4 linked regions of the Saccharomyces cerevisiae S288C genome follow. The main gene of each other region encodes a partner of the protein of the gene in region 3 in a complex. Each region holds a gene or a part of one and is shown on either strand. Other genes may lie near its edges. The genes, in order: SNF5, SWP82, SNF2 and SNF11.

Region 1 (8,412 bases), on a different chromosome or scaffold from region 3:
AGCCGGTGCTGCTGAAGCATGTATAACATATCCTTTTGAGTTTGCCAAAACAAGGCTGCAGCTGATTGATAAGGCCTCCAAGGCATCAAGAAATCCTCTGGTATTGATATATAAAACTGCAAAAACTCAGGGCATTGGTTCCATTTATGTCGGATGTCCCGCATTTATTATTGGAAACACCGCTAAGGCGGGTATTAGATTTCTTGGCTTTGATACCATTAAAGACATGCTAAGAGATAGTGAAACTGGAGAACTAAGTGGTACAAGAGGGGTGATAGCTGGGTTAGGTGCGGGACTATTAGAAAGTGTTGCCGCAGTGACTCCTTTTGAAGCAATCAAAACTGCTTTGATCGATGATAAACAATCTGCTACACCAAAATACCATAATAATGGGCGCGGTGTAGTACGAAACTATTCATCATTAGTCCGTGATAAAGGATTTTCTGGTCTTTATCGTGGTGTTTTGCCAGTTTCCATGAGACAGGCCGCAAACCAAGCCGTTAGATTGGGTTGTTACAATAAGATTAAGACCTTGATCCAAGATTATACGGATTCGCCAAAAGACAAACCTTTATCATCCGGGTTAACCTTCTTAGTGGGTGCATTTAGTGGTATTGTGACGGTCTATTCCACCATGCCCCTTGATACTGTGAAAACAAGAATGCAAAGTTTGGATTCCACCAAATACTCCTCTACAATGAATTGTTTTGCAACCATTTTCAAAGAAGAAGGGTTAAAGACGTTTTGGAAAGGTGCTACGCCTAGACTTGGGAGATTGGTCTTGAGTGGTGGTATTGTTTTCACTATCTATGAAAAGGTCTTAGTTATGCTAGCCTGAAATGTATTATTGTGTACAATATATCATCTAATGTTTTCTACTCGTTATAAGTCTATTTACCAGCCGATCACTTAAAAAAGTTATATATCTCTTTTTATCATAATGAAGAAGATGGCTTATGCTTGATTTTGACTTTGGTTGAGGTATTTCTTTTCCAATTTTTTGACTTGAATGTAGTCGTATATACTCTTCAGGGTGATAAATAGCCCAAGAAATGCCACAAAAACAGCCAACCATGGTATGTTTTGTTTTTCTTCATCCAGACCGTGATTCAAATGTGATTCAAATTTATCTTGTGTCGTTGATTGTGAATTTAGACGAACATCATCGAATTCATTTGGATCCTCTAATTCCATTCTATTTAAGCTTTTATTTTTGCCGACTTTTGAAGTAACATCATTGGGAATCATTGAATAACCATATCCAATGAACGTTAACCCTAATCCAAACCTTGAACCTTGCTTTGCTGCGTGAGATGTGTGTAAAATGTAGGTTATTAAAAATCCAATGAACTGAAAACTCGTGCTTACGATGATATTCCATAATAAATTTGCTATATTTCCTACAGGAAGCCCCTCAATGCATATTTCGTCGTAGTAGATATCTGAATTGTTCAAATCCATTCCATAATACGAGGGGGCCATATCAGCAGCAGCTTCGTCGTATGTAGGTGGTATGTCTTGTTCGTTATTACCTTCAGTCTCTGTGGTATCTGGTTTTGCGCTTAAATTGCTAAAGACACCATCAAACATGGCACCTTGTTGTATATCCGAAGACTGTTGTGTACGTTTCTTAAAAAGTCTATCAAGAATATTAAAATGTCTTCCTATTTTTCCTATATGTCTGGCTGCTTGTTCCCTCAGCTGGTGTGGTACTAGTCTTTCTGTCGTACTATTTCCTCCACTGCTGCTTCCCTCGTCCTCTATGCTATCTTCCTCGTCAGACCCTATTTCCGTTTCCCCTTCTACGCCAGTTTGTGTGTCTCTAGTTCGTCCTGCGTTTCCGACATTTATGCCATCAGTAGATGAACCTGCATGAAGTGTATTCATTTCTTGCCCTATAAGTAGTTCTTGCTCTGGCATAGCGCTTAGTTTCCTAGACTACGTGTTCTTGTTATTCTCATGCTCTTTTTATGTATCTAAATTGGAAGATTTTTATAAAGGTTATGTACTATTCTTCTAAAAAAAGTAGGCGCAAAGGGACTCCGCATCGTATAACACGATGATAATACAAATTCTTCCACGGTTATTTACATCTCCGGTATATTTTATATATGTGTATATATTTTCTATGTATTCTGTGTGTTATTGTTACTGCTACCATTATTGCTATTAGTCAACAATGTCGCTTCGCTATCATGTGGTGCTACTGGAGGTGCTATAGGAAGACTAGGTGTAGGTACCGATTTACTAGCTGCCCCACCTGGGATTACTGGCTGCAGTGTGGGATTGGGTGAATTAGTAACAGTGTGATTGGCAATCGGGTTTGGGATTGAAGGTATCGTCACACCAGCGCGAATGTTACTATTCAGCTTAGTTTTCAGCGATTCTGGACTCGGAAGCATTGCATTGGTGCCACTACTTGTGTCATTGGGCGCTGCTGCGAACTCTTCTTTTGTATTAACTTTCCCAGGCAGTTTAATAGAAAGTAGTAGCGAATGACCCGGAATATGGTCAATAATATAACAAGGAGGTGAAACTGGCTTAGGTCTATCTGGCCTGCTTTTATAAGTGGTTGTGTTTCTCAATTCGTACGATTCCACAGAAGGGCCTACGTCAACACCACCAGGCATTAAAGTGCTAGGTACTGGAGTCCTGAAAGTTCTTGGAATATCTGCAATATCTGGCAGTAAAATCTCTCCTGGTGGCAACGATGAAGCATTTCCTGCTGCTACTGTGTTGTGAACGCCGTTCATAGATGTATTACTTGCAGATGTGCCGGACAATGCGAGCATACCACGTCTATTAGATCTACCTTGTCTTCTTTTCCTTCTTGTGTCTCTGTCCTTATCTTTATCCAATCTCTCTAACTCTGCAGCTGAAATCTGTAATAGGTTTGGAGTAAAAATTTTGCTTTCCGCTGCAGGCCTATAAACATCATCAAGAGTAATCGTTGGGAGCATTCTGCTTCTAATGTCATCATCTTCTATCGCTGATCCATCAAAATTGTAACCTAACAGTGCCAGTGATTTATGATACATATGAACTTGCTCTCTTATGGAGTGAGCAATGGCAGTCACAAACTCACCTGGTAGTTCTAATTCTTGACACATGGACTCTGCAAACTCTTCTGGACAGTTATCACTATTAGAGATGTCCCACTCAAATTGATCGATTAACTGGTTTTGTCCCACGACAATATCCAGCTTGATTCTAATTCTCAAGTCATCACCGCCTAGACGGTCCTGATTCAACTCTATATATGGATTTCCTTGAAACTCCTGAATCTGCTCTTGTATAGATTGACAAATAGTATCAATGTGTTGCTCTCTCGTAGCGTCCTCAAATCGGTAATCTCGCAACATGTCGTCCACAAAGTCTTCAATTTTAATAAGCTTGTCATTTTTGTTCCATAACAAAGTGTCCCTGAGGAAGAATCTGTCACGATCTTGATCGAACTCCAATCTTATGGGAACTAACTGTTCCGATGTCTCATTCATGGCCTGTTTATAGACTTTTAATTTATCCTCTAGGTAATGCTTCCTATTTCCAACTTCTACTTGTGGAATAACTCTGGTAGTTGTATTCGTAATCCCATTACCATACCCTGAGTAACCATTTCCCCAAATACTTGCCGAAGGAATCTTCTGAGAAGTGCTTGTGATAGATTTCATTCTAGTGTTCTTCAAATCTTGATAATACTTCAGTGTATGCCACAGTCTACTAATATACTCTTTATTACTAAATCCATAAATGCTAAACGGATCGTAACCATTGGTTTCTCTTATTAGCGAATATTTGTTAATTTTATCACGCTGGATAATTTGTTCGTACAACAAAGTATCCGTATCTGCTTTTTTGTCTGACCAATAGGTTGGATATGGTAGCTTGGTTTCTGGTGGATCGTATTGAATAGTTTGGTACTTGGGTAAGTTTAATTTTGGAAGTTGAGGAAGTTGGCCAATAGTTGGCTGAACATTGGTGGGAGGTTGTCCACTCATGGATCTAACTTGAGGAACTTGCTGAGATTGCGGTATTTGTCCTTGCTGCTGCTGCTGCTGCTGCTGCTGTTGTTGTTGTTGTTGCTGTTGTTGTTGCTGCTGCTGTTGCTGTTGCTGTTGCTGCTGTTGCTGTTGTTGTTGTTGTTGTTGCTGATGCTGCTGCTGCTGTTGTTGTTGCTTTTGTTGCTGCTGTTGTATTTGCACATGATGCCTAAACTGTTGTTGCTGTTGTCGCTGTATTTGGTTTCTAAGTTGCTGCTGCTGTTGCTGCTGAACCAGCAATTGCCTCTGCTGTTCTAGCTGAGTTTGTGCCGTTTGCTGTCCCTTTTGCTGCTCAATTTGGCGTTGCACTTGTTGTTGTGCAACAGTAATTGCATTCACAACCTGTGGATTATTTTTTGCTATGGCCTGCTGCCTCAACTTGTTCAAAACTTGTTGCTGTGTAGCCAAAGGTAACTGAGCAATTTGTGGAGGCAAATTAATAGGCGCTGGAGCTAAGGGCACTTGACCAATTTGGGGATGTAAGTTGTGTGGTGCTGGAGGAGGAGGAGGGGTAGAAGTCGCTGATTGATTAGCAATGGGTTGAGATTGTTGCGGAGGAGGGGGTGGAGATTGATGCGTTTGCGGTGGCGGTGAAGTTTGTTGTTGTTGTTGTTGTTGTTGTTGTAGACGACTCCTCAGTAACTGTTGGTGTCGTTGCTGAATCATCTGCAATTGTTGTGGTGTGAGGCTCTGATACAGCTGTTGCGGAATTTGCGCCATGTTAAAAGATGGAGTTCCAATGTTGCTAAATATATTTCCAATACTATTTGGAACGCTGTTGGTACCCTGCGGCTGATTATTCATTGTTGCTTTTGTGTAGTTCTTTACTATATGTTCCCTTGATGATGCTTTGTTTTGGTGTTTATGTTTGAAATTTCAGTTTCTTTTAAATGCGACGAAAAATGAAATTTTTGGTCAAAGAACAAGAAGAGATTTATTTAAAGTTGGCGATAACAGGACTTGGGCAACAACAGAGGCTGTAAACCTTACCAACCCAACCAAAATAGATGTATTTGTCATTCTATATCACTGATACAAAGAACAAACTTATTTTCCAGTATCTTTTAGGTGCAACAGCTCCCTCCTTCAAGCACCTGTGGACCCGCGTTCAGTCCACATGTCCTCAATTGCTCGAAGATAGCAGTAGTGATGATTATTTAGACCATTCAATGGTTGGAAGAGATTTAGAGGTCTATAAGTATTTCTCAGTTATAAATAAGCTCAATTATTGGTGCTTAGCCTCCACTTCGAAGTCAAAAGGCCCGCTTGATTGTTTTACCTTTTTAGAGACTATAGATCGTATCCTGTTAGAATATTTTGACAAGGATAAATTAAGTATCAAGAAAATTGTTAATAATTATGATAGAATCAGTTTGATTTTTAACTGTTGCGTCGAAGCGGGTGAACCAAATGTGAGTGATATGCTCTATGTTAATAAAATTAAAGAAGCTGTTCCTGAAAGATCGGATTTATCGAAGTTCATAAGTTCTACAGCCCATAATTTACAGCAGGCTGTGCAACTCCCACAACAAAGGCAACAGCAGCTACAACAAAATCAGATTTCTCGTGGTAGTAATTCACTAATCGAAAATGAAGAGATTGTTCCCTGGAGAACTTCAAGGGCTAGCAAACATGAGAATAATGAGCTTTATGTGGATTTGTTAGAAACATTCCATGTTGTATTTGAAAAGAAAAAATCACATCTAAGGTTGCTCACTGGAAGTATCCATGGAATAGTGGACGTGAGATCTTATTTGAATGATAATCCTCTAGTTGCAGTAAAATTAAACACTATGGGAAATGATATAGGTATACCCAGTTTGCATGACTGTGTTGAAATCAATGATGGTGTGTTTTCTCCCTCTAATATAACGTTTATACCACCAGATGGGAAGTTCAGATTGCTGGAGTATTCCGTCGATTTAAGTTCTCAAGTAAAGCAATCCGGAGTAAGGATGAATTCTATTGGCTTGATGTCTTTACACTTCCAAAATGGATTGGGTAAAGATTCTGATGAATTTGAGTTATCCTTAAATATTGAAAATTTCAAAAAAGTTTCACAAGTTGATGACCTAAAAATAGATTTACAGTTCAATGTTGAGAATGCTGATCCAAATGAAATAGCATATAAGATAAAAATATTGCGCAATACTCATGGCCGTTTTGAAAATAGCATTATCATGGGTCAAGGACAATGGATTTTTGATAAATCAACTGCCACTGGAACGGTACCTGTACTACGTGGCTGTATTGAGTATGAAAATACTGGGCCAAATTTTACAAAAAAAGTTGATTTACAAACAGTCTCCTTAGAATATTCTTACATAGGACAATCGGCCAGTGGAATCTATGTAGAAGCCATCGATATTGTATCTGGATTAACAATTGGCAAAAATACAAAGCTGTACAAGGGTGCAAAGTATAAGACCCAGACAGGCAATTTTCAAGTAAGGCTGTAGTTATATGTGTACTTGAAATTCCATGCGAAACTAAATAGAATATAATGAGAATATAAGTCTTGGAATAAAAAAGGAATATAAAACTATGCTAAAAAAAAAAAAAAATGAATAAGACTTTCATTCATGAAGACTCTATACAAAGGAATGAAAAGTTGTATTAAGTTGGGTTAGCCCACTGTAAAACGTAAATTGCACCTGAGACAACAATAATACTTACAGGCAAACTTAAGACAGCGTACCCCCAAAATAGAATATCGGCCATTTCTGCCTCGAAAAATTCATTCAGTTGAGTGATTTGAGTTAATTGAATGGCAGGAGGGGAAACAGTCAAAAGAAAACCGACAACAAGGAAAATTGGATCGTCCAAAATACTCACGTTTATGTACTTAACAGCAATAGCAATAATAGGCAAAAGGAAGCAAGAAGGTAAAATCATTCTTCCGATGATGGAGCCGATCAATAACTTGCTATGGTGAACCGTCTTAGGGAAGACTTCCGCAGAAGGATATAAGTTAGAACCGAGGACAACCAGGATCAGTGGGATAGAAACTGAACCCAGCTGCGTAACAGCCTCGGCAAATGTGTTATTGATAAACCCATCTTCCATAAATAGCTCTCTCTGCAACGGACCAATTGCTGCCACAACAACAGCAAAAATCATGGAATATAACGGAGGATTAAGGTTCGCTCTGATTCTCTCAAATACAGTGCATGATTTTTGCCAAATCTTATCACCGATGGAACTCGAACTCAAAAAAGATGAGTTCATTCTGTTATTTTCTTCTTCAAGCAATTCTTGTTCCTCTTGTTCCTCATTGACAAGTTCCTCGTTATCAATGTTGGGCGTCCTTTCCAACAAAGATTGCACTTGAGAAGGTGGCATATGCTGAGTGTTCTCTCCAGACCACTTCATTAGCTTATTGTAACCCCAGCTCCACCTCAGCATTTGTCCGATTTGTTGAAAGATCAGCAAGTATAAAATACCCCTTGATGCAACGTTATCTCTGTTATCATTAGGAATTTGGTCCCAAGTTAAGTTGGGCAGAGTGTAAGCCAAAGATAATGTCAAGGACACAGGTAGAGAGTTACTGTTACCAAAGACAGAGTTTGCCACCACAAAATTAGTTTCATCTTTATCCAAGTCTAGGATACGGCTCATTATCTTTCCGGAAATAAATGAAATACCAGTAGTCAAACCAAAAAAAATAGGAATGATGGCTATTTCAAAGATTTTGGCCATGGACAGGGATTTGGCCAACTTACTAAAAATAAGACATGGTGTAAAAAGGTCCACGTTCAACAGAGAAATGATTTTTTGACTTTGTTTGGGCAGCAGACCAGAACTAGCGCTCCAAAAACCAGCGAGTGCGATAATGACTACCTGTAAAACGGACTCAAAGACCAAATAAGCCAAATGAGCAAAACTAAATGTTTCAACCATATAGTAGAAATGCAGAGTAATCTATGAGGGTATGGTTAGTTGGGAATAACAAACCAAAAACGGGCTTCACACATATTGTTCAATTTACAATAATTTCCTGTTTAAACTTTTATATCACAATTTCAGTTTTTTTTTCTACCTTTTTTTCACTTTGATAAGGAGGCTGTGATCCCCTTGATGCACGTGCAGTTAAAAAAAAGAGGGTTTTTATTTTCTTTTAGATAATTATACAGAAATACTTGATGTGAACAGTACACTTAAATAATCAAGAAGTCGGCCCTGTACTTAAATTGTGGTTGTTGAGCATTCAATATGTCCACCTCTTTGTGCTTTTGGGTTTCTCTTTTTGGGAAACCCTCGAAAGAGTCAGCATAGGTGGCCACAGAGTGAGCAATCAACTTGGTGTTGGTAATGAATGCGTCCCAGGATAAGTTAGAGACATCATCACATAATTGATGGTAGCATCTGTCTA
Region 2 (7,346 bases), on a different chromosome or scaffold from region 3:
AAATAGTTAGCATCAGGGAATTTGTATTTTATGATGATGTTAATTACTATGAAAAGTACAGTACTGTTGAGTGTTTTTACCGTCTTAGCGACATGGGCTGGATTGCTAGAAGCTCATCCATTGGGTGACACTTCAGATGCATCCAAATTAAGCTCAGACTACTCGCTCCCTGATCTCATTAATGCACGTAAAGTGCCCAATAACTGGCAAACTGGAGAACAAGCTAGTCTAGAGGAAGGGAGAATTGTATTGACTTCTAAGCAAAATTCCAAGGGTTCACTTTGGTTGAAGCAAGGATTCGATTTGAAGGATTCTTTTACTATGGAGTGGACATTTAGGAGTGTTGGTTATTCTGGCCAAACCGACGGTGGCATATCATTTTGGTTTGTTCAAGATTCTAACGTACCACGCGATAAGCAGTTATACAATGGGCCAGTGAACTATGATGGTTTACAATTATTAGTGGATAACAATGGTCCATTGGGCCCAACACTTCGTGGTCAACTAAATGATGGTCAAAAGCCTGTAGATAAGACGAAAATCTATGATCAGAGTTTTGCATCTTGTTTGATGGGTTATCAGGATTCCTCCGTTCCTTCCACGATCAGAGTAACTTATGATTTGGAAGACGACAACTTATTAAAAGTTCAGGTGGACAATAAAGTCTGTTTCCAAACTAGGAAGGTTCGCTTTCCCTCTGGGTCTTACCGTATTGGTGTCACCGCTCAAAATGGAGCAGTGAATAATAATGCAGAGTCTTTTGAAATATTCAAAATGCAATTTTTTAATGGCGTGATTGAAGATTCTTTGATCCCTAATGTGAATGCAATGGGTCAGCCAAAACTGATCACCAAATACATTGACCAACAAACCGGCAAAGAAAAATTGATTGAAAAAACAGCATTTGACGCTGACAAAGACAAAATTACAAACTATGAATTGTATAAGAAACTGGATAGAGTTGAAGGTAAAATTCTTGCGAACGATATCAATGCTTTAGAAACAAAGCTAAATGATGTCATTAAGGTCCAACAAGAGCTATTATCATTCATGACTACGATAACTAAACAGCTCTCTTCTAAGCCACCAGCTAATAATGAAAAGGGAACGTCCACCGATGATGCAATCGCTGAGGATAAAGAAAATTTCAAAGACTTCTTATCAATCAATCAGAAATTGGAGAAAGTCCTGGTTGAACAAGAAAAGTATAGGGAAGCTACCAAACGTCATGGACAAGATGGTCCTCAGGTCGACGAAATTGCCAGAAAACTAATGATTTGGTTACTTCCATTAATTTTCATTATGTTGGTTATGGCATATTACACATTCAGAATCAGACAAGAGATCATAAAGACCAAACTGCTATGATTTTGGATTATTCCTTCCACTCAAACCAATTGTGCACATGCATTCCCTATATATGTATATATATGTAACAATACATATTTTATAAAATAACGAACGATAGTTTATATTACTACTTCAACAATGGTTTATTTCTTATTGGAGTGTTCCCTACATTATGTTTTACTTCTTTCAATTATTCATAGCTACTTCGTTGCTGAAGTTAGCCAGGTTGTCCGGTTTAGCGGCGACCGGATCCGTCGCCACCACTGGATTAGCATTTGTGTTCTTTACTTCAGTGTCCAGCTTAACAGCCGTTTTATCCCCAGCGACATTTTGTGGTACTTTGTTCACATGAGAATAAATGTATGGAGGTTTAAAATCCTTAATGTTACAATTTCCTAGGAAGTTTGGGTTCGGTACCCTCTTTGTTGTTATTGTTTCATCCGTATTCGTTATTTCGTTAAAATTTGTAGTAACACTCGTTTGCGCCAACACATCTTTCAAATATTTATTTTTGAATTCATCCAATTGAGACCGTTTCAAACCGATAGGAATACCTGCCTTGTACTGCCAGTACTTTTTCCATTTTTTTGTCCTAACTTTTCTAACGTTCTGCAAACCGGTATTAACAAAAACGGCATCGTGTAAATGCTCTAGTTCTTTAATTTCGTTCGGTGTCAGCTGTTTCAACCTTTCTAGCAGCGTGTTTTTTTCATATAACGGCAATCCTCTATAATATTGCTGTTTACCTGAATTCTCGGCGGATTTTAATGGCAAAGATTCAAATTTCCAGCCGTTTATGTTTAACGATGTATTATTTTTGTGTTGGCCCTTGTTCATGGGTTTTATCATTTCGTTCTCCTCAGACTTCTTGTTTTTTGATGAGGAAACGTTAATATCAAGAATGCTACTTAGCATTCGTTTGATTGGTTTATTGCTAGGATTGACAGATGGAATATGGTTAGGAAGTGAAATTGAAGCGGAACCATCAGGAGCTTGACTTTCATATTGCGCAAGTAATTCTTCATGTCTTCCGATTGGTATGTCCATTGCCTTCATTTGCAGAGCTTGTTGAAATGAGTTTTTGCTGTGATAACGCGGTACTCTAAATTGTGCACTGAGTTCCAATGTTCCACTAATGCTTTGACCAGGAACAATTGCCGAAATGTGCTCACCTTTGGCAAAGTTTTCAATATAGGCTTCTCTAATCTCCGCTGACGGTTGTTCCGTGACTATTGGATACTGTGATTCGAATTTTGAAGTAGAAATCGTACAGGTATTATTAGTGTTCGCACTAATTTCATTGGCATTGCTAATCCTGTTATTTTGGAAGGAGGGGCGTAAAAGTGAGATTTTAGAAATTAAATTTGTTGATAATTTGAAAACCCTTTGGTGAGACGACAAATTTTGCTTTTTAGCTAAAGATTCCCAATAATCATCAACGATGCGTTGACCACCGGCAATAACAGAAGCACCGAATTCAACAAAGGCTGACCTGGCAGTTATATACTTAAAAGATCCTTTGGATTCTTCAGGAATGACACCATTTTTGGCCAAAAATTTTGTTTGTTCCTCAGAAGTTTCCATTACCAGAATTTGATCATGCTGGACAATAAACTCGTCCTCGTCATGCGTTGCGTTGCTTTGGTATAACACTTTAATGACATCTTGTAAAAGTACCAGAAGAACACCCATATGAGCCGTGAATGTGAAGGTGTTGAACAAATAATGTCTACCGCCAAATAATTCACCGTTCGAACCCACTTTTTTCTCACCATAAGCATCCAATTGTATCATCTTGTAGGATGTATTAGTAGCGTCTCTCGTCTTAAGTTCATCTATATATTTCGGTAATTCTAATTTTTTGTAGGGAAATTTGTCTAAGGGAGGTTGAACCAATTCATCTTGATCCAGGATTTGCAGAATTTGCTTAAGTATCACTCTTTCATGTTCTCTGATAAGTATTTTGGGTACTATAAATACAGCTCCAACCTCTCCTTGTTTTACAGAAGGATTATTTCCCTTTTCAAGAACGGTATTCCCTTCATCTTCGCCAAGCATATTCGTCTCTCTTTAAAACGCCCTTTGTTTTGGTTCTTCTTCCTACTTTTTTTATTTATAGTATTATACATTCCATGTTTTTCTTGTTTTTACATTGAGAAAAGTCCAGAAAGGGAAAAGTGATGGTTCGAAAAAAAAATATAGACGGCTGAAACTACAACTATATTTAATGCACAGGGCCACTTTCTGAACGGCTAATCTTTCCATGTCAGGATATATTTCCGTTGTACTTGACGAGGTCATAATACTCTGAAAATTTTTTTAGATACGACAAATATATCAGCTGCTAAACTCCTTTATGGATGTGTTGAAGGGAACACTTATCGCTTATTCTTCCTACGTGCTAGATTCCGTAACTGAGCTGTACTTCCCACATCGTAGTTGCCTAAATGTGAGAAACAAGAAGTGCCCTTCGTGCTTAGACCGTGGATATCATATATGTGAAGGTTGACAGTTCTTCCAAGTTTCAACAAACTATGCAAGACCTCCATTAATTTATACGCACATTCATTTGACAGAGGCCCTGTATACAAGAAGTACAGACAAAACTAACCGTTGTCCATATCCTACTATCAAACTATTCTTTCAGGTACGTTTTTACTGCCTGACCGGCTATAAGTTACAAAAGCGACTCCTTGAGATAAAAATTTTCTTCGAAAAATGCAGCATTTGGTTTGGCTGTTCACGAAAGTGGCTGCTTCCAGAGAAATCAGGTTTTCCTCGAGCATATGATATTTTAACGTAGAGGTTTATATTATAAAAGTGGAAAGGTAAAATCAACAGCGTTTATTTCCTCTATTCAATGTTCAGCAAGGACGGTAGAGACTACTATTGCTAAACAATTACTTACATGGAAATGTACTGTCAGTTGGATAAAAAAATCGACAGGAATATATTTTAATCACCTTTATAGAAGTACTGAATTTTTATGAGAAAACGTGAAAAAACTTCGTAATGTCGTCCTTATCCACTTCATTTGATTCATCGTCAGATTTACCAAGGTCAAAATCCGTTGACAATACGGCGGCTTCCATGAAGACAGGCAAGTACCCAAAATTAGAGAACTATAGGCAGTATTCTGATGCACAACCAATACGTCACGAAGCGCTTGCATTGAAAGTGGACGAAACGAAAGATTCTAGACACAAATTTAGTTCCTCTAACGGGGAGAATAGTGGAGTGGAAAATGGAGGCTATGTGGAGAAAACGAATATATCCACAAGTGGCCGCATGGATTTTGAAGGTGAAGCAGAAGCAGAAGCAGTGAAACGTTACCAGTTAAGATCTTTCGCGCTTTTAAGTTCTAATGCGAGGCCATCCAGGCTAGCAAAGTCTGAAACTCACCAAAAGCAGATTCATGTAGAGAGCATCGCTCCCTCTTTGCCAAAGAATGCGGCTTTAGAGAGAGGCCATGATACGGCGTTACCTGCCGGTACGTCAAGTAACAGATGCAACTTAGAAGCCTCCTCCTCGGCAAGAACTTTTACAAGCGCTCGTAAGGCTTCGCTAGTTAGCGCAATCTTTGAAACATCGGCTGAATCAGAGCATGGTACGCATCCCAAACAGGCGAAACTTAAGAGAAGAACCTATTCTACAATATCGACACATTCATCAGTCAATCCTACAACGTTGTTGACAAGAACTGCATCGCAAAAGTCCGATATGGGAAATGACACACGAAGAATTAAACCGTTACGTATGGATAGCAGGGTATCTTTCCATAGTGAGATATCGCAAGCATCCAGGGATTCTCAAGAAACAGAAGAAGACGTTTGTTTTCCAATGTTTCGACTATTACATACAAGAGTTAATGGTGTTGATTTTGATGAGTTGGAAGAATATGCCCAGATTTCAAATGCTGAAAGAAATCTGTCTTTGGCGAACCATCAAAGGCACAGTGAACGAACATACAATCATACCGACCAAGATACTGGATTTACTAACTCTGCTTCCACTTCAGGATCCTCAGCAGCTCTGAAATATACACCTGAAATTTCACGGACTCTTGAAAAAAATTGCAGCGTTAATGAGATGTACGTATCTGAAAACAATGAATCTGTGAGGGAAGATGATAAACCTGATCTACACCCTGACGTAACATTTGGTAGAAATAAGATTGAAGGTGAAAAAGAAGGAAATGATTCGAGTTATAGCCGGGCGTATTATACCCTCCAAAATACAGAATATCAAATTCCTAGTAGATTTTCGTTCTTCCGCTCTGAATCTGATGAAACTGTGCATGCTAGTGATATCCCTTCTTTGATATCCGAGGGACAGACGTTTTATGAGTTATTCAAGGGAGGCGATCCAACGTGGTGGTTGGATTGCAGTTGTCCAACTGATGATGAAATGCGTTGCATAGCAAAAACATTTGGAATCCATCCTTTGACCGCGGAAGATATCAGGATGCAAGAAACGCGTGAAAAGGTAGAGCTTTTCAAATCCTATTACTTTGTCTGTTTCCATACATTTGAAAATGATAAAGAATCGGAGAATTATCTTGAACCTATAAATGTTTACATCGTTGTTTTTAGGTCAGGTGTCTTGACTTTTCATTTTGACCCAATATCACACTGTGCCAATGTAAGAAGACGTGTAAGACAATTACGTGACTATGTCAGTGTCAATTCAGATTGGTTATGTTATGCTTTAATCGATGATATCACAGATAGTTTTGCTCCGGTTATTCAATCCATCGAGTATGAAGCTGATTCGATTGATGATTCAGTGTTTATGACCCGTGATATGGATTTTGCAGCCATGTTACAAAGGATTGGTGAAAGTAGGCGTAAGACAATGACGCTGATGAGACTCTTGAGCGGTAAAGCAGATGTTATCAAAATGTTCGCCAAAAGATGTCAAGATGAAACTAATGGTATTGGGCCAGTGCTTAAATCTCAAACTAACATGGTGAACTTACAAGCGGAACAAGAGAATGTGAACCAGAATAATAGTAATAACCAAATAAGCTTATCAAATAGCTATATGCAAACAACATCACAACCAAGGGGAGATATTGCTTTATACTTAGGTGATATTCAGGATCATTTGTTGACGATGTTTCAAAATTTATTGGCGTACGAAAAGATTTTTTCTAGATCACATGCAAACTACCTGGCCCAATTACAAGTGGAATCATTTAACTCTAATAATAAAGTTACAGAAATGTTGGGTAAAGTTACTATGTTAGGTACAATGTTAGTTCCATTAAATGTTATTACTGGTCTGTTCGGTATGAATGTAAAAGTTCCAGGAAGAAATGGAAGTATTGCGTGGTGGTATGGAATTTTGGGGGTACTGCTTTTACTAGCTGTCATAAGCTGGTTTTTAGCTAGCTATTGGATCAAAAAAATAGACCCACCTGCAACGCTCAACGAAGCCGCAGGTAGTGGGGCCAAATCAGTCATATCTAGTTTTTTACCGAAAAGAGATAAAAGATTTAACGATGATTCTAAAAATGGCAATGCGAGAGTTGGCGTTCGAAGGAAATCAACTGTCAGTCTACCCAGTAGATATAGCCGTTACAATTAACATGACCGCTATGGTAGGTCGGCAGATCTTTAGCAGGCAGAATAAAAGTCTGCCGAACAACAAGTTCCTGAATTTTGAAAATTTTTGGCACATTGGTTGACTGCTTTTAAAGCATTTTTTTGATATGAGGGCACAAAAATATGACGCTTCACTTAAAGTTTCTCATATTCTGACACACTTCAGTGATTTTTTAAATCACATTGCATATTTATACCGTAAAAGTTGTAGAGTTAGTTTTCTTTATGTAGGCCAATAAAATAAATTTGCTTGAGCTGCATTACTAGCAACATAATTGACCAATTTATACGTTTAGTTTTAACATCATCACAATGGTGTATAAAAAAAATTGGTACCGAACCATGATATAACAGACTTCTGATCAGAAGTACGAAGTAAAACCAGAGAAC
Region 3 (10,598 bases):
CTAAGTAAAGAGCCAAGTGTATCTATACGGACAAACTTTTTGACATATGACCTTATTCTTGAAAGAGAAAAATCAACAATAGGCGCGAGAGTTCTTGCACCTGAGTACACTTCATTGGCATGAGCGCTGAAACTTTTTTTGGCGTTATCTATTGGCTTAGATAGGTCAATTTTTGGGGGCCTAAATACCATTAACGTGGGAAATCCGTTTACGTCGTATTTAGCACACAAAGCCTTATTCTTGTTAAGGTCACAGTTTACAGCAGCAACTTGGACTACACCATCCAATCTTTTTGCTGCCTTGCGGAACGTACTAGAGAGCTTCTTACAATGGCCGCACCACGGAGCATAAAATTCCACTAATGATGTGTAATTTGTGTTATGGATCGCTTTATCGAAGCTTTTTGGCGTTAACTCTGATATATGAGGATCGGAATCGTAAAAGTTTTGCGCCTTTACTTCATTCATAATAAAAAGTCCCAAAAGGAGCTTAATAATATTAAGAAATAACATTATATGTCAAATTTTGTCTCTCCTAATTGTGTTAAGTGGATGCTTACTGTTGAAAATGACTGCGAAAAGATATTTCTCTTCATGTTATTTAACTTTTACGTGTCAATTTTAATTTTTACCAAATTTTTATACGCCTCGCAAGGCTCGAACAACGGCCCTTTTTTCAAGGGATAAGCACATGACACTGGGCGACAAAGGAGGAATATAAAGAGAAATTTGCGTCAATTTGTATCCAGATAAGATCCTTTGAAAAGATGGTTTTTGGCTTGTGCGATAGTAATGGCTTTAAGGCTATTTCGAAAATCCAGTTTTTTTGCAAAGATATCAATGGAAGGCCCTAAAGGTTCATCGCCATTTGCGTTTTACGCATTTTATCAACTTTATTCGCACTTGAATCCGGGGAAATCGAGCAGCCTTTCTTTAGAAGATATTAGAAGAAGGCTATACCCCGACTTTAAAATAGATTACAATGAGAAAACTTCGTTGTTCATAACTTGGAAGAAAAAGTCCAATAAACATCACACAATAGACACTAACGAAGAGAATTATATACTTAGAGGATGTATCGGTACATTTGCTAAGATGCCGATTGCACATGGTATTGAGAAATATTCCTTGATTGCTGCTTTAGAGGATAGGAGATTTTCTCCGATCCAGAAAAGGGAATTGGTGGACCTGAAATGCAGTTGCAACATCTTAGGCAACTTCAAAACTATTTTTCGAGGTGGTGGTAATCCAAATGGGGACATTTTCGATTGGGAACTCGGAAAGCACGGTATTGAACTGTATTTTAAGCATCCCAAAACAGGCACCACATGTAGCGCAACCTTTTTACCTGATGTTATGCCTGAGCAACATTGGAATAAAGAAGATACCTTTGCCAATTTAATCGAGAAGGCGGGTTACTGGGGCAATATTAGTGAAGTAATGGATAATTTTGAAACTTATTTCATTGAAGTAATAAGGTACGAGGGCAAAAAAAGTTCCATAACTTATGAGGAATTTAACAAACAGTTAAAAGATATAGAGGCTTAGAAAATAACCCTCGTTAGTTAGTCTTAGAAACATTAAAAAAAATATGCTTTTATACATTGATCAAGCTTAAAAATTGGACGCAACCGGAATCGAACCGATGACCTCTTCCTTGCAAGGGAAGCGCGCTACCAACTGCGCCATGTGCCCTGATGACTGTTGAAACTGTTGTATCTCAAAATGAGATATGTCAGTATGACAATACGTCATCCTGAACGTTCATAAAACACATATGAAACAACCTTATAACAAAGCGAACAACATGAGACAAAACCCGTCCTTCCTTAGCTGAACTACCCAAAAGTATAAATGCCTGAACAATTAGTTTAGATCCGAGATTCCGCGCTTCCACCACTTAGTATGATTCATATTTTATATAATATATAAGATAAGTAACATTCCGTGAATTAATCTGATAAACTGTTTTGACAACTGGTTACTTCCCTAAGACTGTTATATTAGGATTGTCAAGACACTCCGGTATTACTCGAGCCCGTAATACAACAGAAACTCATTTCTAATGAGTGGTAAATACATTTGTGGGAAATATCTTTAAGGCCATCTCGGACCTGTATATAATCTCCGAGTATTTCCATTAAAGATGAATCAAATACATGAAATATCTATTAAAGACATATACTCAAGGAAAAGAAGTAGTAGATATATCTTCTTTATATATATTGCCCTGTGTTGCTAGCAGGGTGTTGGAACAAATAATTTGTTCCGTATTGGAAAATTTATAATTAGGTCCAAGAACAAGTTCACTATGATGACGACATATTACTTTGTTCAAAGAGATGGTTTAAAATAAATATGTATAGCAGAATTATAAGAGGCGAAATCGATCAATTAGTTGAACAATTAACTTAAAATCTAATATATATAAATATATATATATATATATATAGGAAATATACGGCACGTTATACTAGAGATATTAAACATCCCAACTCGGTTAATGGGTACAATAAAAAAAAGAGGGATTAATGTTTGTCTACGTATAAACGAATAAGTACTTATATTGCTTTAGGAAGGTACTATACACTCGCTTCTGTCATGCTCGAGTCCGCTTCATCTGTGAAAGATTCAGCCACGCTTGAAGTAACAACAGGAGGCAAGACGAGGGGTCTGGTGCCATACTGTTCATCAAATTCAGTAAAGTCGAGTTGTGAGTTATCGCCCATTATCTCACAGTATTTCTTCGTAACCACTTTTTCCAGTTCTAAAGAGTCTTCGTATACTACTGAACCCTCAGTATTGTATATCCTAGCATTGGAAAATATCAGATGAAAGTCTTGAAGGGTCTCTTTAAGGGAGTTGTAAGCTAGCGTTTCAATATGCGTGTTAATATTATCAAAGGCGACAGGGTACTTAATAATCATATAGTAGTCGGGATATAGTGCTTTGGAAGGTTTGGAGAGGAAAATGTCAGAAAGTTTCCTTCCAGCTTCATTTTCATAATTGAGAGCAAAGTGGTATAAGTCTAGAGCTTGTTTAGCAACTTTCTCTCTAATATCAATAGGACTCGTTGCCGCAGCGGGCGTGCGGACATAATCAAGCCCATTTCTTGCTTTTGGCGGCCTTCCTCGTCCACGTCCTCGCCCTCGACCACGACCACGACCGCGACCACGGCCCCTTGTTGAAGTTCTTGCTGATTTAACAGATGTTTTTCCCGCTGTACGTGGTTTTGGAATGTCCATAAAATCCTCACTGGGAGAGTTATCGCCAGTAACTGGACTTGATTCAAGCGCTGGTGGTTCAGAATTTTCAGATCCTTCAAGTTTCACTTTCTTAGGTCTTCCACGGGGCCTTCCTGCCTTTCTCTTTTTAGACAAGAAATCATCGTCATTCATTGCCAAATCCGTATCTGCCCGATCTTCGGCCGATATATTATTAATTCTAGGACCGTCATTATCAGCGTCAATGTTTTCGCCTTTAATTTCTCCATTCCCATCAATCGCCTCGCTCTTATCTTCCTTCTTTGTTCGTTGTTTTCTTGCCTGCTTGTCATTTTTTTCATCATCGCTAACTTCAAATTGTCTTAACCACTGTTCTTCAGACATATTATCGTTGTAAGTTGCCGTCTTACGTTCTCTTGCACCCCTTCCATTGTAAACAGCAGCAGATTCTGATTCTTCACGTTTGAGCTCGGCACCAATATCTCTACTGTAAATATCAGGTAATTCACTCTTTTCTAAGAGACGGCTCTTTACTCCCAATTCTTCCTCCTTCTTTGATCTATCTTCATCCATCCTTGTAAGAACAGCCATTTCTTCGTCATTTCGAGCAAGAATTTCGTTGATTTCTGAGTCTTTTAACTCCTCTTCTTCTTCAACACCAGACTCTCTTTTCTTTCTACGTTCCTCTTCTGCATCCAGCAAAGATCTAAGCAACGCTTCTTGTTCCTCCGATGTAGATTTGTTATCGAATTTACCTGCTTGAATGACTTTACCATCGATATCTAGCTTCTTGTAGGCTCTCTCTAGGATAACTTCTTCAACTGAATTCGTAGTAATCAATCTTAGAATTCTAACTTCATTCTTCTGACCTATTCTATGCGCTCTATCCTGAGCTTGCAAATCTTGATGAGGATTCCAGTCAGTATCAAAAATAATGACAGTGTCTGCAGTTTGTAAATTTAAACCCAAACCACCCGCTCTAGTTGATAAGATAAAGCACAAGTATTCAGAATCAGGGGCGTTAAATAGACGTAACAACTCACTACGTTCATCAGATTTTGTATGACCATCTAACCTCAGGTACTTGATATTAATGTACCTTAAAAAATCTTCCATAATATCCATAATTTGGGTCATTTGAAAAAAAATTAATACTCTATGCCCAGTTGCCTTAAGCTTAGGCAAAATTCTATCTAATAGTTCAAATTTACCAGCAACACGCCAAATATCATCATTCGTTTCTCTTGTTGGATTGATTTGGTCCTCAACTTCTTCAAATACAAAAGGATGATTACAGATTTTCTTTAGTTGCATGATTTGATTATTGAAACCTCTTAAACCTACCATTTTCTTATTATTTTGATCACCGATAAAAAGACGACGATATTTCAACATTTGTTGGTACATAATTTGTTGTAAAGCGCTCATTTTGCACTTCACTACCTTCTCAACTTTATCCGGTAATTCTTTTTCTACATCCTTTTTCAAACGACGCAATAAAAAGGGTCTCAAGACTTTATGCAATCTCCTGATAACCAAAAGCGTCTCTTCTTCACTCAACTCAATTTTATCTTGCCCACCGGTGTTGGCAAAGGGTGTATTGAACCATTCATCAAAAGATTTCACGGAATTGAAAATCTTGGGTAACACAAAATTCAATAAGGCCCATAATTCTGGCAAGTTGTTTTGAAGTGGTGTACCTGTCAAAATTAATCTATAATCTGCATGGTAATGTGTGTTCAAGGTTAAAGAAAGCTTGGATTGCGCATTTTTCATTCTATGGCCTTCATCAATAATCATATGGACCCACTTGACCTTGGATAAAAGTGCTCTTTCTTTAATAATATACTCAAAGGTAGTCAGAACTACATCAAATTCACCTGCCCTTATTTTAGCCTGTTTGGCTTTCCTCTCATTTGGCGAACCTTTAAATGATATAGTTCTTAAGGTAGGAGCCCATTTCGCGAATTCACTGCTCCAATTTGACAGTGTAGATAAAGGAACAATGACTAAATATGGCCCACGAATATTCTTCATTTCATATAAATATGTAAGTAAGGATATCGTCTGGATAGTCTTACCAAGACCCATTTCGTCTGCTAAAATACCATTTAAATGATTATTGAAAAGCGAAACCATCCACTGTAAACCCTTGATTTGATAGTCCTTTAAGGTACCACCAACCAATATTGAAGGCTGCTTCTTGATATCTTCTTTAATTCTATGTGCGACATTGTAATAATCGACGTTAGAATTGTCGTCGTCGTCATCATATTCTTCATCCTTCATCTTGGGGACCATGGACAAATCATCCACTTCCTCCGATGCTTCCTTTATGTGGGAATCAATCATTTCTTTAGTGTACTTTTGTTGATCTTTCACGGCTCTTGTTAAAGAATCTAAAAATGCGTTTGTTTGCCTTAGAAGATGTGTAATTCTTGTATCTTTGGTTTGGTCTAATAATTTTATATAGGCTTCCTCATCGTTCGCCTTTAAAGCCTGTAAACGTTCTTTTGCCTTTTTTTCAGCTCTCTTTTGCTCATCCCTTTCTAAATTAGTATGCGTAGCAATGAGTCTATGGCCAAACTTCAACCTTTTATTCTTTTTATCTTGTCTTCTATTATATTGATTGATGGCGGATTTATTCATCGACTTTAATCTGGCCACTGCCTCAGTCTTCTTCCTTTCTAACTTAAGTAATTCATGATTCTTATAAAGTTGGTTTGTTAGCAATGCATCTTGAACGTTGATGTTTCTTATTTTCGAAAGAAAATTTGGATGTGTATTGGTTAATAAAGAATTTTGATGCCATTCAAATTGTAATACATGACCTCTTACGGCTTTTTGTAACGGTAATAATTGTAAGGCGTAGTAATCGTAAAGAGCATTTTCCCTGGTTGATTCCGTACATTCGTCATTTAGTAGCTTATCCAAACAGTCATTTACCGTAGTATCTAGGTTCAATGCAATTAAAGTTTGGTAAATGTCAGTAGCGGTATGTGTGTCAATACCAACCGGTAGAACGCCAGGTTCAATAGTAAACTTTGCATGATCCGAATTGGCCAATAAAGTCTGATAATCGATATTACTATGTGAGATATTGGGCATCGTAAAAGAATCAACCATCATATCAGGATCATCTATATCTACCACTTTTATTCCTTCCTTATATTGATCTTGAAGGACGTTTAAAGGAACGGGTTTCTGCGGTTTTGGCGGGTTATTTTGCTCGGTGTGGGTCTTATTACTATTAGGAGCTGTTTTAGCTACGTTTGAAATGGTTTCGTTTTCCTCTTTTTTCGATTCTGTTTGCGTGATTGGAGTGCCACTTACAGTTTGCGAATTTTTATCGAGGGTGCCATTCTTCGCATTATGTACACTAGATGGACCAGCTGGTGAAACAGATGCAAAATTTTCGTCTTTGCTATCTAAAGGTGCATTTCTGGTAAGCCCAGAAACGTTGTCAGTGTTAGTGTTATTGTAGTGGGAATTGGTGCCGGGTTGCTGCGTATTGTTGCCGCCATTGAGATTTGATTGGTTATTTTGATCTGTGGGTTGTCTTCTTCTCGCAAACTCACTCAAAGACAGTAACATTCTTTTGAAATCTGGAGGATGGTTAATAGATTTTTGGATAACAGCCTGAAATTCAAACGGAATAGGCTTTCTATTTACTAGACATTTTAGAGATGTGATTTGGGCCTTTAACAGTTCGGATTGCTCGGCAGTAAACATTGTCATGGGTAATCTTCTCCCCTGTTGCAGTCTCGCTTGTGCTTGTTGTGCCTGTTGTGCCTGTTGCGCTTGTTGCGCCTGTTGTGCTTGGAATTGTGCCTGCTGCATCTGCGCCTGCTGGGGCATAGGAGAATTTATCTGCGAACCTGGCATCACATTTGAATCCTGTATGTTGTGTTCTTGTAATGATCGATTTTGCGGTTGAAGCTCGGAATTATTAAGGTTTAAGTTATTATGGTTTGAGTTATCTGGTTTCTCCGCAGCATTTTCTCCATTGTTTGCTGGTGTTGGTGAAAAATTAGTTGCATTTAATGAACCAACCGAAGATTGCCGTTGTGGTAGCATGTTATTACCACCATTGCTATTTAATGGCATCTGTGTTTGCATGATTGGTGATTGATGAGCAGAAGTGCTAAAGGTCTCATTTCCATTCAATTGCATATTCGGAGCTAAATGCGGGGAAGCAGAAGCAGAAATGTGCGAGGAAGCATTATTCGGCAGTTCTGCTTGATCTGAAGAATTTGGAACAATATTTTGCTGAGAACCTGAAATGCCTTGCTGTTGGCGTTGCATTTGTAATTCTTGTCGCTGCTTGGCAGCAAATTGCAACACTTTAGTCAAATAGATAAATTCCGGCACACTCGGAGCGTTCATTCCGTGTTCATTTCTCAAATGCTGCCATCTTAAATAGCAGCGGTTGACCTCTTCGTTGCTAAATTGACGCTGTGGTATGTTCATGGCAGATAATTAATCGAAAGTCGTGAAAATAGCAGAAAGTCGCGATTAGAGAAACAACAGAATAGCTGACCTTCCCGATGATTTATATACAAAAGGTCCACGTACGTCACAAATATCTTCTTTATTGAGACTAGAGGTAACCTTTCTTTTAACTTATTGTCCTACCGCCTCAGGATGGCCCCGTTTCGTCAATCAATTTGTTGATATTTGTCTTTCAAACGCGGTTTTAACATATCGCGAACAACGGTATTCGGGTAACAGCCTATCACTATTTTTACCGGCGGCTATTTTTCCTAAACCTAGTATATATACGCGAAAATTGGCTACCTGCAAAATTCCAATAGTGGCGAATGTATTGGAATTAATCTGCAAGGAAAATAAGCGTTAGGAACTTCAACTGTATTTTGCTCACTAATTCTTCTTCATCATGTCTTCTTCTTTTTTTTTCAATTACTTGTTAGTTCTTAGTGTCCTTATGTTCACTCAGAATAGCCATTAAGAATCGTGTCTTTTTGGAAGTGAAGGAGTTTCAATAAAAAGAAAAAAGCGAATATTTCAACACTGTGTTCTAAGAAAAGGCTCTATAGCTTTTTTTATTAGTTTTATTAATTTGAAAAATGCCTTGTTTGTTTTATATATATATATGTGTGTATTTAGGGCAGCCGCGGCCAACAGGGGGTATGGGTATGAAGAGGTGATAGAAGAGTGAAAAATGAAAAAAAATGGAAATCAAGGAAAGAGTAGTGAAAAAAAGAAAAAAAGGAAAAAAGGGCAAAAAGAGAACGCAATACCATAGAGTTGGAGGTGTTGGACTTGTGAATTTATTTTTGATTGAAAATAGTTCAGAGTCAATAGATTCTTCTTTAAAATAAAAAGGAGCCCAGACTTACTGATAGATCTTGCATATACTCCGGTAATGGATATTCCCTCTTCAAACCAAATTCAACATGGCCAAAGGAGTGAAAGGAACCGAAGAATGCCGAGGGCTTCTTTTTCTTCTACAGCCACTACTTCTACGGCGGCCACATTGACTTCCGCGATGGTACTGGATCAGAACAATTCGGAACCGTACGCAGGTGCAACATTCGAAGCCGTGCCAAGTTCTATTGTATCATTCCATCACCCTCATTCTTTTCAATCAAGCAACCTCCCAAGTCCGCATTCTTCAGGGAACCTAGAGCAGAGAGGCCGCCGATTGACTGAATCAGAGCCTTTAGTATTATCCTCGGCTGAACAGTCTCGAAGCTCTTCTAGAAACCCTTCTCATTTTCGATTTTTCACTCAGGAGCAAATATCCAATGCTGAAGGCGCTTCCACGTTAGAAAATACAGATTATGACATGGCCTGGGATGCCACCCCCGCTTATGAACAAGATAGAATCTATGGTACGGGCCTATCTTCCAGGCGTTCTTCTATTCGAAGTTTTTCCAGAGCATCATCTCTCTCAAATGCAAAGTCTTATGGATCTTTCAGTAAGAGGGGTCGCTCTGGTTCAAGGGCACCACAAAGGCTGGGAGAAAATTCTGACACTGGGTTCGTTTATCATTCCGCTACACATTCATCATCCAGTTTATCGAGATATACGACCAGAGAAAGAATTCCTATTGAACTAGAAAGTCAAACAGATGAAATACTAGAAGACGAGTCTTCTACACATTCTTTAGAATCTTCAGATAGTAGGCGATCTGCAAGCGAAAATAATAGAGGAAGCTTTTCTGGTCATGATGATGTTCATAATCAGCATAGCGAATATCTAAAACCTGACTATCATGAAAAGTTTTATCCACAGTATGCACCAAACTTGCATTACCAAAGGTTTTACATTGCGGAAGAGGATTTAGTTATTGGTATCGCTGCTTACCAGACCTCAAAATTCTGGTATATTATTTACAACCTGTGCTGCTTCTTGACTTTCGGATTAGTTTATCTTTTAACGAGATGGCTTCCCCATCTCAAAGTTAAATTATATGGCGTGAAAGTGCCATTGGCTAAAGCAGAATGGGTCGTGATAGAAAATGAGTTTGGTGAGTTTGTCATACAACCTATCGATCGACAGTGGTATAATAGACCATTAAGTACTGTTTTACCTTTTGAAAATTACCCTAATCCGTCATATGAACCAAATGATATCAATTTGAGCCACCACCATGCCAATGAAATTAATCCAAATGTGCCTATCTTGATCACATTTGAATACAGATATATTAAGTTCATATATTCACCGCTCGATGATCTCTTTAAAACTAACAATAACTGGATAGATCCTGACTGGGTGGATTTAAGTACCGTATCAAATGGTTTAACTAAGGGGGTTCAAGAAGATAGAGAACTTGCGTTTGGTAAAAATCAAATTAATTTGAGAATGAAAACTACTTCAGAAATTTTATTCAATGAAGTGTTGCATCCGTTTTATGTCTTTCAAGTATTTTCGATAATTTTGTGGGGCATTGATGAATACTACTACTACGCCGCATGCATTTTTTTGATTTCTGTACTGTCTATTTTTGATTCATTGAATGAACAGAAGAAAGTATCGAGAAACTTAGCTGAAATGTCGCACTTTCATTGTGACGTTCGTGTTTTGAGGGATAAGTTTTGGACAACGATAAGCTCATCAGAACTAGTTCCGGGCGATATATATGAAGTATCTGACCCAAATATAACAATATTGCCTTGTGACTCTATTCTTCTGTCCAGTGATTGTATAGTCAATGAATCCATGCTAACTGGTGAATCTGTGCCCGTTTCGAAATTTCCAGCTACGGAAGAAACAATGTACCAATTATGTGACGACTTCCAGAGCACCCAAATATCGAGTTTTGTTTCCAAATCCTTCTTGTATAATGGTACAAATATAATTAGAGCAAGAATTGCCCCCGGGCAAACCGCCGCTTTGGCGATGGTT
Region 4 (5,905 bases), on a different chromosome or scaffold from region 3:
CTTACGTAGAGAACGAGAAGAGAATAGAAAGGAAGGGGTTGACCGTTGGAAGGAGGGGGTCCAGCGAGGCTAGACTAGGTTAGGCTAGGCCAGAAGAGAAGGAGGGGAGGGAAAAGTCAGAGAGTCAAAAGGAGAAGGGGCTACGCTCCAAATGGCGTAGAGTAAACTAGTAGATATTGAGATTAGGCTTCCGTTACCGACGTGCATGATGAAGATGACAATGCTTACTGCGACGATGACGAAGGTGGCTCTCGAAGAAGATAATAAGAAAGTAGTATTAATAGGGCTGGCAGTAAGATAACTACATCTGATGTCATAGATTTTAAAATACTAATATTATTATTTACGTTGGGTACATTACATACGATAAATTCATGCAGTTGTAGTACTTGAGTGATTGTTATTTGCCTTTCTTTTTCTGCTTTTCGTATTCTATTTTTCTTATGCTTCCTGTACTTGCTCTGCGGGTATGCAATCACACCTGTAGCTGAATGCAAAATTAAAATTGCAAAAGTAAAAAAAAAAAAACAAAATAAAAAAGGGAAGAGAAACAAAGTTATTCTACCATATCTCGAACACTCTTGCCAAGAGAAGATAGAGTTTAGAAAGAATATCCTGTGGAGGTTGCTGCTGGTTGGCTAGCTGAGGAGGCGTGAGGATCAGTGGTTTCGCTGAGGGCACTCCTTGGTTTATCTGAGATATGCATTGAAGATTGGCATGAACCCTTTTAAGGAACTGAGATATAAGTTGCTGTATCCTGATGATGTTATTGTTATTGCTATTATTTATATTGTTCTGTAGATTGTTTTGTAAACTATTATTCATCTGAATAACTCTAGCAAGTAATATGCTGTTGATATGCAATAGCAGTTGTACCTTATACTGTCTTTGCTCATCGACCGTGGGGAGGTTCAGCTCTGCAGTTGCATTTGCAGTTGCATTTGCAGTTGCATTTGCAGTTGCATTTGCATTTGCATTTGCATTTGTATTTACATCTACGCCAGCGCCAGTATTGCGGTTCTCGTTTTCAGTGTTGGTGTTCGTATTCGAGTAGGCAATTTCACTGCTCATTTTTCTGGGAAAAAAGGAAATCTGTGTGTTTTGCTTATATGCACATTGAATTTACACTCCCGATCGTGATGCGCTCTGAGCCCTGAATAGAGGGTATCATAAACGGCAATCTTACTACGACCCCACGTAATATGCTTTTATGGGAAGTCTGTTCTCCACTCCGTATATACTGTTAGGAGAAAAAAGGAAAAAAAATTTGCCCGAAAGTCGATTGTTACCCGGCAAAACAATCATCAAAAAAAAACAGGTAGAAGAAGGCTTGCTATAATTTGAACACTCTCTACCCTCCTGGCTGCTTTATCTACTTCTGTTGGCTTGAGAAACGTCATATCTATATATAGCGTAGATATGTTTATTCGCGTTTGCACTGGCCTTGAAGAAACGTGAAAAGAGGGTGGTTTCACCGCACAGCGGGGTTATCCTTGGTTACTCGTAAATGCCAATAATCCATCTTGAATAATTCCTATTCGAGACGCATGGGGAAATGCAAGGCAAGCTAACACGTAGTAGAATACCCTGCTGCACAGCGCCGTTGGGGTCTCAAGTGCAATTGCCGTTTTGCGCGGCGATAAACGGCTAAAGATTACTTCAGTTGGCCACGGCAGCTGCGCCCTTCCCGAGTGGATTACGCTCACGTGCTTTCCGCGGAACAAAAATGTGAACGCCACGGGAAAAAAGCATTATCCCCGCGCCGCTTCTTGACGCCTCTGATTGTGCTGATTGATTCCGCTTTTTTTTTTTACCGGCTTTTTTCTCCGCCTTCTTCGCCTCAATCGAGAGTTCTGGTGTAAATTCTCTTACGAAGTGCAAAGTTAGTAGGAAAGTAAAAAAAATAAGAAAAAGGAAAAATGCCTAGAAATGCAGACCTCCGGCCACAACATTTTTATATAATACATTCGAGCATCAAAAACCAGGAACAATAGAAGAGTAATCGCTACTTGTCAAATAAAAATAAAAAAAGGAAACCTAAGGCATAGTGTTTTCATAAGCATCGCTACTTTTTCATTGCCACCCTAACTGTTCCTTTATTTCACCGGTTGGACGTTATCATTTCTGCTAAGAATCACCTAAAGTCTTTCAACGTCTAAGAAAGCATGAATGTCATATTTTCTTTGGCGAGTTTCGTCAAAAACATGTATAATGCAAGTTTGAACCAACGTAATCTAATAAGCCTGCCGTTCAACTTCATGCTTAATTTTGCGCCAGTGTTTATTTGGCTGTCTATATTCAAGCGCGCTGGTCTGATACCCATAAGGCTCAGACCTGACATTCATAGCAAGTTTGCTTTTTTTGCTGATCAATTCCTCTTTGGGGACTATTGGCATGAACTTACTGTACAATTGCCCGATAATACTTCGAAGCTATTTTTCTGGTCATTCATATCATCTTCTGCATTTCTCTTAGTATTTCTGATATGTATTCCCTTTGCCATTTGGTACTACATCTATTACATTAAGCACGTTAACTATAATCTGTTAGAGTGGTTCGCAAATATTTTTCATTACCCCTGCAAGCGCAAGCAGCGGCCGATCCAAAAGAGATTTCGGACAATTTTCATACCGTTTGCCTTGCCCCTGTTTACATTTGTTATACTCAACATTGATCATTTCTTTGCTTACCAGTCGGATGCAAACTTTACTAAGACCAAGGATTTACTGGCTTGGTTCTCCTATGTCATCCTGCACTTGACAGCTCCAATTTTAACAGCTGTATACTTATACGTCTTCCAACCACCGGGGACTTTAAAATGCTTTAGTTTTGCCCTAGGATTACAAAATATAGCGGGGGTCCTTACCCATCTGCTTGTTCCAATGGCCTCCCCATGGTTTACTCATCTGTACGGTATTGATGACACCGAACATGTTAATTACACCCAGGAAGGGTTTGCTGCCGGTTTGATAAGAGTAGATAGCCATTTGGGTACTCATTTGAACACTAAAGGATTTCACATGTCTCCTATTGTGTTTGGTGCTGTTCCTTCACTACACTCCGCCATTGCATTTCAATGTTTCTTGTTTTTGGTTTCAAGGTCCACCAGCTTAAAACACAGATTTTCCAATGCTGGAGGTTTCACAATGCACAATAATGATTCTTCCACTTTCAAGTTGAGTGAGGAAGACAGCGAAGATGAAGGTGACAATAGCATACCGCCCACGATTGGCCCTAACGACTTAGAGATGGAACCATTGGGTACCGTTGAGCCTGTAGATATTTCAAATGAGCGGTCCTCCTCCCCTTCATCTTCATTCACCGTATCCAGTAATGAAAGAAGCACCGGCGGCGGCGACGGCAGCATTATTAACAGCAATGGCAATAAGAAACCTCTCCAGTTTGTCCATTTATATGATGAAGACACGAACTTCACAAACAAATGGATTTTTAAAATAGTCAACGATGGGTTTATACCAAAATTCTGGGCTATCCTATATATAATACTACAATGGTGGGCTACCATGTATCTGGACCACCATTATAGATTTGACCTTTTCGTTGGTGTTTTATATGCAATGACAAGTTTCATCATCATAAACTGGTTTGTTTTACAACCAAAAGTTTTAAAAAAGTGGATTCATATAAGGTTAGGCGACAAAGTGGATACAAGAAACGAAGCTCGCACTTTTGGCATGAGAGTATTTTGTGGCACCAAGATGGAATGGTTTTTTGATCCGCTTGCATAGACTATAGAATGTCATAATGTAATAAAAGTAATTTCGGATAATTTAAATAATATAGATTGGCTTTTTTTTTAATAATATATTATTAGTGTTATGCATGCTTTTTTTTTTTATTTTAATAAAGGGTTAACCTGAAATCGGCTTGCTTTTGGTTTTCTGTCAATTCATAAAAAGAATAGTTTTGAACGGGCAAAAATGGAAAAGCAATGGAAGAACGACGAACATCCCACTGGACAAGAAGCGGGAGCAAGTGTTTGTAAGAAAAATTTACAACAAACTAGATTAAGAAGAATTGGACATCAGAATACTTTTCTCGGAGAAAAAATAACACCAATACATTACGATTAAATAAAAAGTTAAAATGGCCTCCTCAAGTAGCACGCTACCGCTTCATATGTATATTAGACCCTTAATCATTGAAGATTTAAAGCAGATTTTGAACTTGGAAAGCCAAGGTTTCCCACCAAACGAAAGAGCTTCAGAAGAAATTATCAGCTTTCGTTTGATCAATTGTCCAGAGCTATGTTCAGGTCTTTTCATCAGAGAGATCGAGGGCAAAGAAGTTAAAAAGGAGACACTAATTGGTCATATTATGGGTACTAAGATACCTCATGAATACATTACTATCGAAAGCATGGGCAAATTACAAGTGGAATCGAGTAATCATATTGGTATTCACTCTGTAGTAATCAAGCCAGAATACCAGAAAAAAAACCTGGCTACTTTACTTTTAACTGACTACATTCAGAAATTGAGTAATCAGGAAATTGGTAACAAAATTGTCCTTATTGCTCACGAGCCATTGATACCATTTTATGAAAGAGTTGGTTTCAAGATCATTGCTGAGAACACCAATGTTGCTAAGGACAAAAACTTCGCAGAACAGAAATGGATCGATATGGAGAGAGAACTAATTAAGGAAGAATACGACAACTAGATCATTAGTTTAACGCACTTTACAAATGTCTAATTATAAATACTACATATAATTTTTGTATATTTTAAAATTGCCAAGTATAATTAAAATCATTACTACTGGTGCTACCCTACATCCTTGACCGTACTGAGATATCACTGCTTAATTCCGGTGATTGGGTTCTTTTCAGTTCTTGGAGAGATATACGTACTACCTTCCTTTTTTTTTAAGGATACCTTTACTGTAAAGGGTTTGTTCCTGTATCAACCCCTTCTTCCTGTACAGAATCTAAGGGAACCGTAAAAGCACATAAGTATATAAAGGTCCCAAGATTTGATTAGGTAGATATGGCCTTTGAGTTGGCTCTTAGTTTTTTTTGGCCTTGAATACTTGTTCCTACAATACTCCAACAGCAGTTGAAGCCAGACCGCAGTATCACATATATAATACACAGGAATATATTTGATAATGTTGAGAACCACTTTTTTGCGCACTCCAAGACAATTGATGCGTAAATCGCCAAGGGCGTCTTTCTCAATCGTCACTAGGGCCGCCTTTCCTCACCTAAAGAACAATCAAGATGAAGCTGAGAAAAAAGAACAGGGTTTGTTTGATAGCAACAAGAAGAGGTTGGACACTTTGGAACACGGCAAGAATCCAGATTATAAGCAACCTGGAATGGAAGATTTGAAAAAAAAGGGAGATGACGCTAGAATCGAACAAAACAGGCCAGATGACGGTGTTTATTAAGAAGCACTTGGTACAAACTCGTATATGCATGTAGTTTCTGTCATACACATATCTATATTCCTTCCCCCCTGGTCCTATCGTATTTAGTCATATCATATCATTTATTGATATCTATATAAGTGCAAAACTATAACCATTATTTATTTGCTTTCCACATTGTTTTACTTCATTTGCTTCAATATCGTTCATTACGTTTAGCGAATGGCTAAGGCCCTTGTATTAGTAAAAGCCTAGAAAAAAAAAAAAAAAAAAAAAAAAGGATATGATGTTATATGATACGTGTAGTTCATGTATTTATCTTCGGTAGTATAGGGCAGATTTAAGACTGAGTGTGCACGCTTCCAAAGTTTTTTTTACTATTTGATACATGCTTAAGTTATGGAGCAGAATATTATTAGTACCATAAGGGATGAGTGTATTCGTCACCGGTCGAAGTACCTTACGATAGCACAACTAACCGCTATTGCAGAGGCTAAAATTAACGAATTCATCA

What was found.
Region 1: SNF2 (region 3) and SNF5 share a complex: the UniProt entries of both Saccharomyces cerevisiae proteins name them as parts of the SWI/SNF global transcription activator complex.
Region 2: SNF2 (region 3) and SWP82 share a complex: the UniProt entries of both Saccharomyces cerevisiae proteins name them as parts of the SWI/SNF global transcription activator complex.
Region 4: SNF2 (region 3) and SNF11 share a complex: the UniProt entries of both Saccharomyces cerevisiae proteins name them as parts of the SWI/SNF global transcription activator complex.

The regions. Positions count from the first base shown.
Region 1 is NC_001134.8:776,099-784,510, reverse strand, and holds SNF5 (Snf5p), read right to left. Parts: upstream 4,845-8,412; coding exon 2,127-4,844; downstream 1-2,126. Other genes in the region: CTP1 (Ctp1p), read left to right, coding at 1-838; BSD2 (Bsd2p), read right to left, coding at 955-1,920; APM3 (Apm3p), read left to right, coding at 5,048-6,499; YBR287W (uncharacterized protein), read right to left, coding at 6,657-7,940; APE3 (aminopeptidase Y), read right to left, coding at 8,198-8,412. UniProt on the Saccharomyces cerevisiae protein: Involved in transcriptional activation. Component of the SWI/SNF complex, an ATP-dependent chromatin-remodeling complex, which is required for the positive and negative regulation of gene expression of a large number of genes.
Region 2 is NC_001138.5:32,865-40,210, reverse strand, and holds SWP82 (Swp82p), read right to left. Parts: upstream 3,409-7,346; coding exon 1,537-3,408; downstream 1-1,536. Other genes in the region: EMP47 (Emp47p), read left to right, coding at 31-1,368; putative Mg(2+) transporter ALR2, read left to right, coding at 4,363-6,939. UniProt on the Saccharomyces cerevisiae protein: Involved in transcriptional activation. Component of the SWI/SNF complex, an ATP-dependent chromatin remodeling complex, which is required for the positive and negative regulation of gene expression of a large number of genes.
Region 3 is NC_001147.6:852,566-863,163, forward strand, and holds SNF2 (SWI/SNF catalytic subunit SNF2), read right to left. Parts: upstream 7,694-10,598; coding exon 2,582-7,693; downstream 1-2,581. Other genes in the region: protein disulfide isomerase MPD1, read right to left, coding at 1-512; YOR289W (uncharacterized protein), read left to right, coding at 792-1,547; YPK9 (putative acid anhydride hydrolase), read left to right, coding at 8,610-10,598. UniProt on the Saccharomyces cerevisiae protein: Involved in transcriptional activation. Catalytic component of the SWI/SNF complex, an ATP-dependent chromatin-remodeling complex, which is required for the positive and negative regulation of gene expression of a large number of genes.
Region 4 is NC_001136.10:587,605-593,509, reverse strand, and holds SNF11 (Snf11p), read right to left. Parts: upstream 1,072-5,905; coding exon 562-1,071; downstream 1-561. Other genes in the region: IPT1 (inositolphosphotransferase), read left to right, coding at 2,166-3,749; PAA1 (polyamine acetyltransferase), read left to right, coding at 4,108-4,683; FMP16 (Fmp16p), read left to right, coding at 5,131-5,412; ubiquitin-specific protease DOA4, read left to right, coding at 5,791-5,905. UniProt on the Saccharomyces cerevisiae protein: Involved in transcriptional activation. Component of the SWI/SNF complex, an ATP-dependent chromatin remodeling complex, which is required for the positive and negative regulation of gene expression of a large number of genes.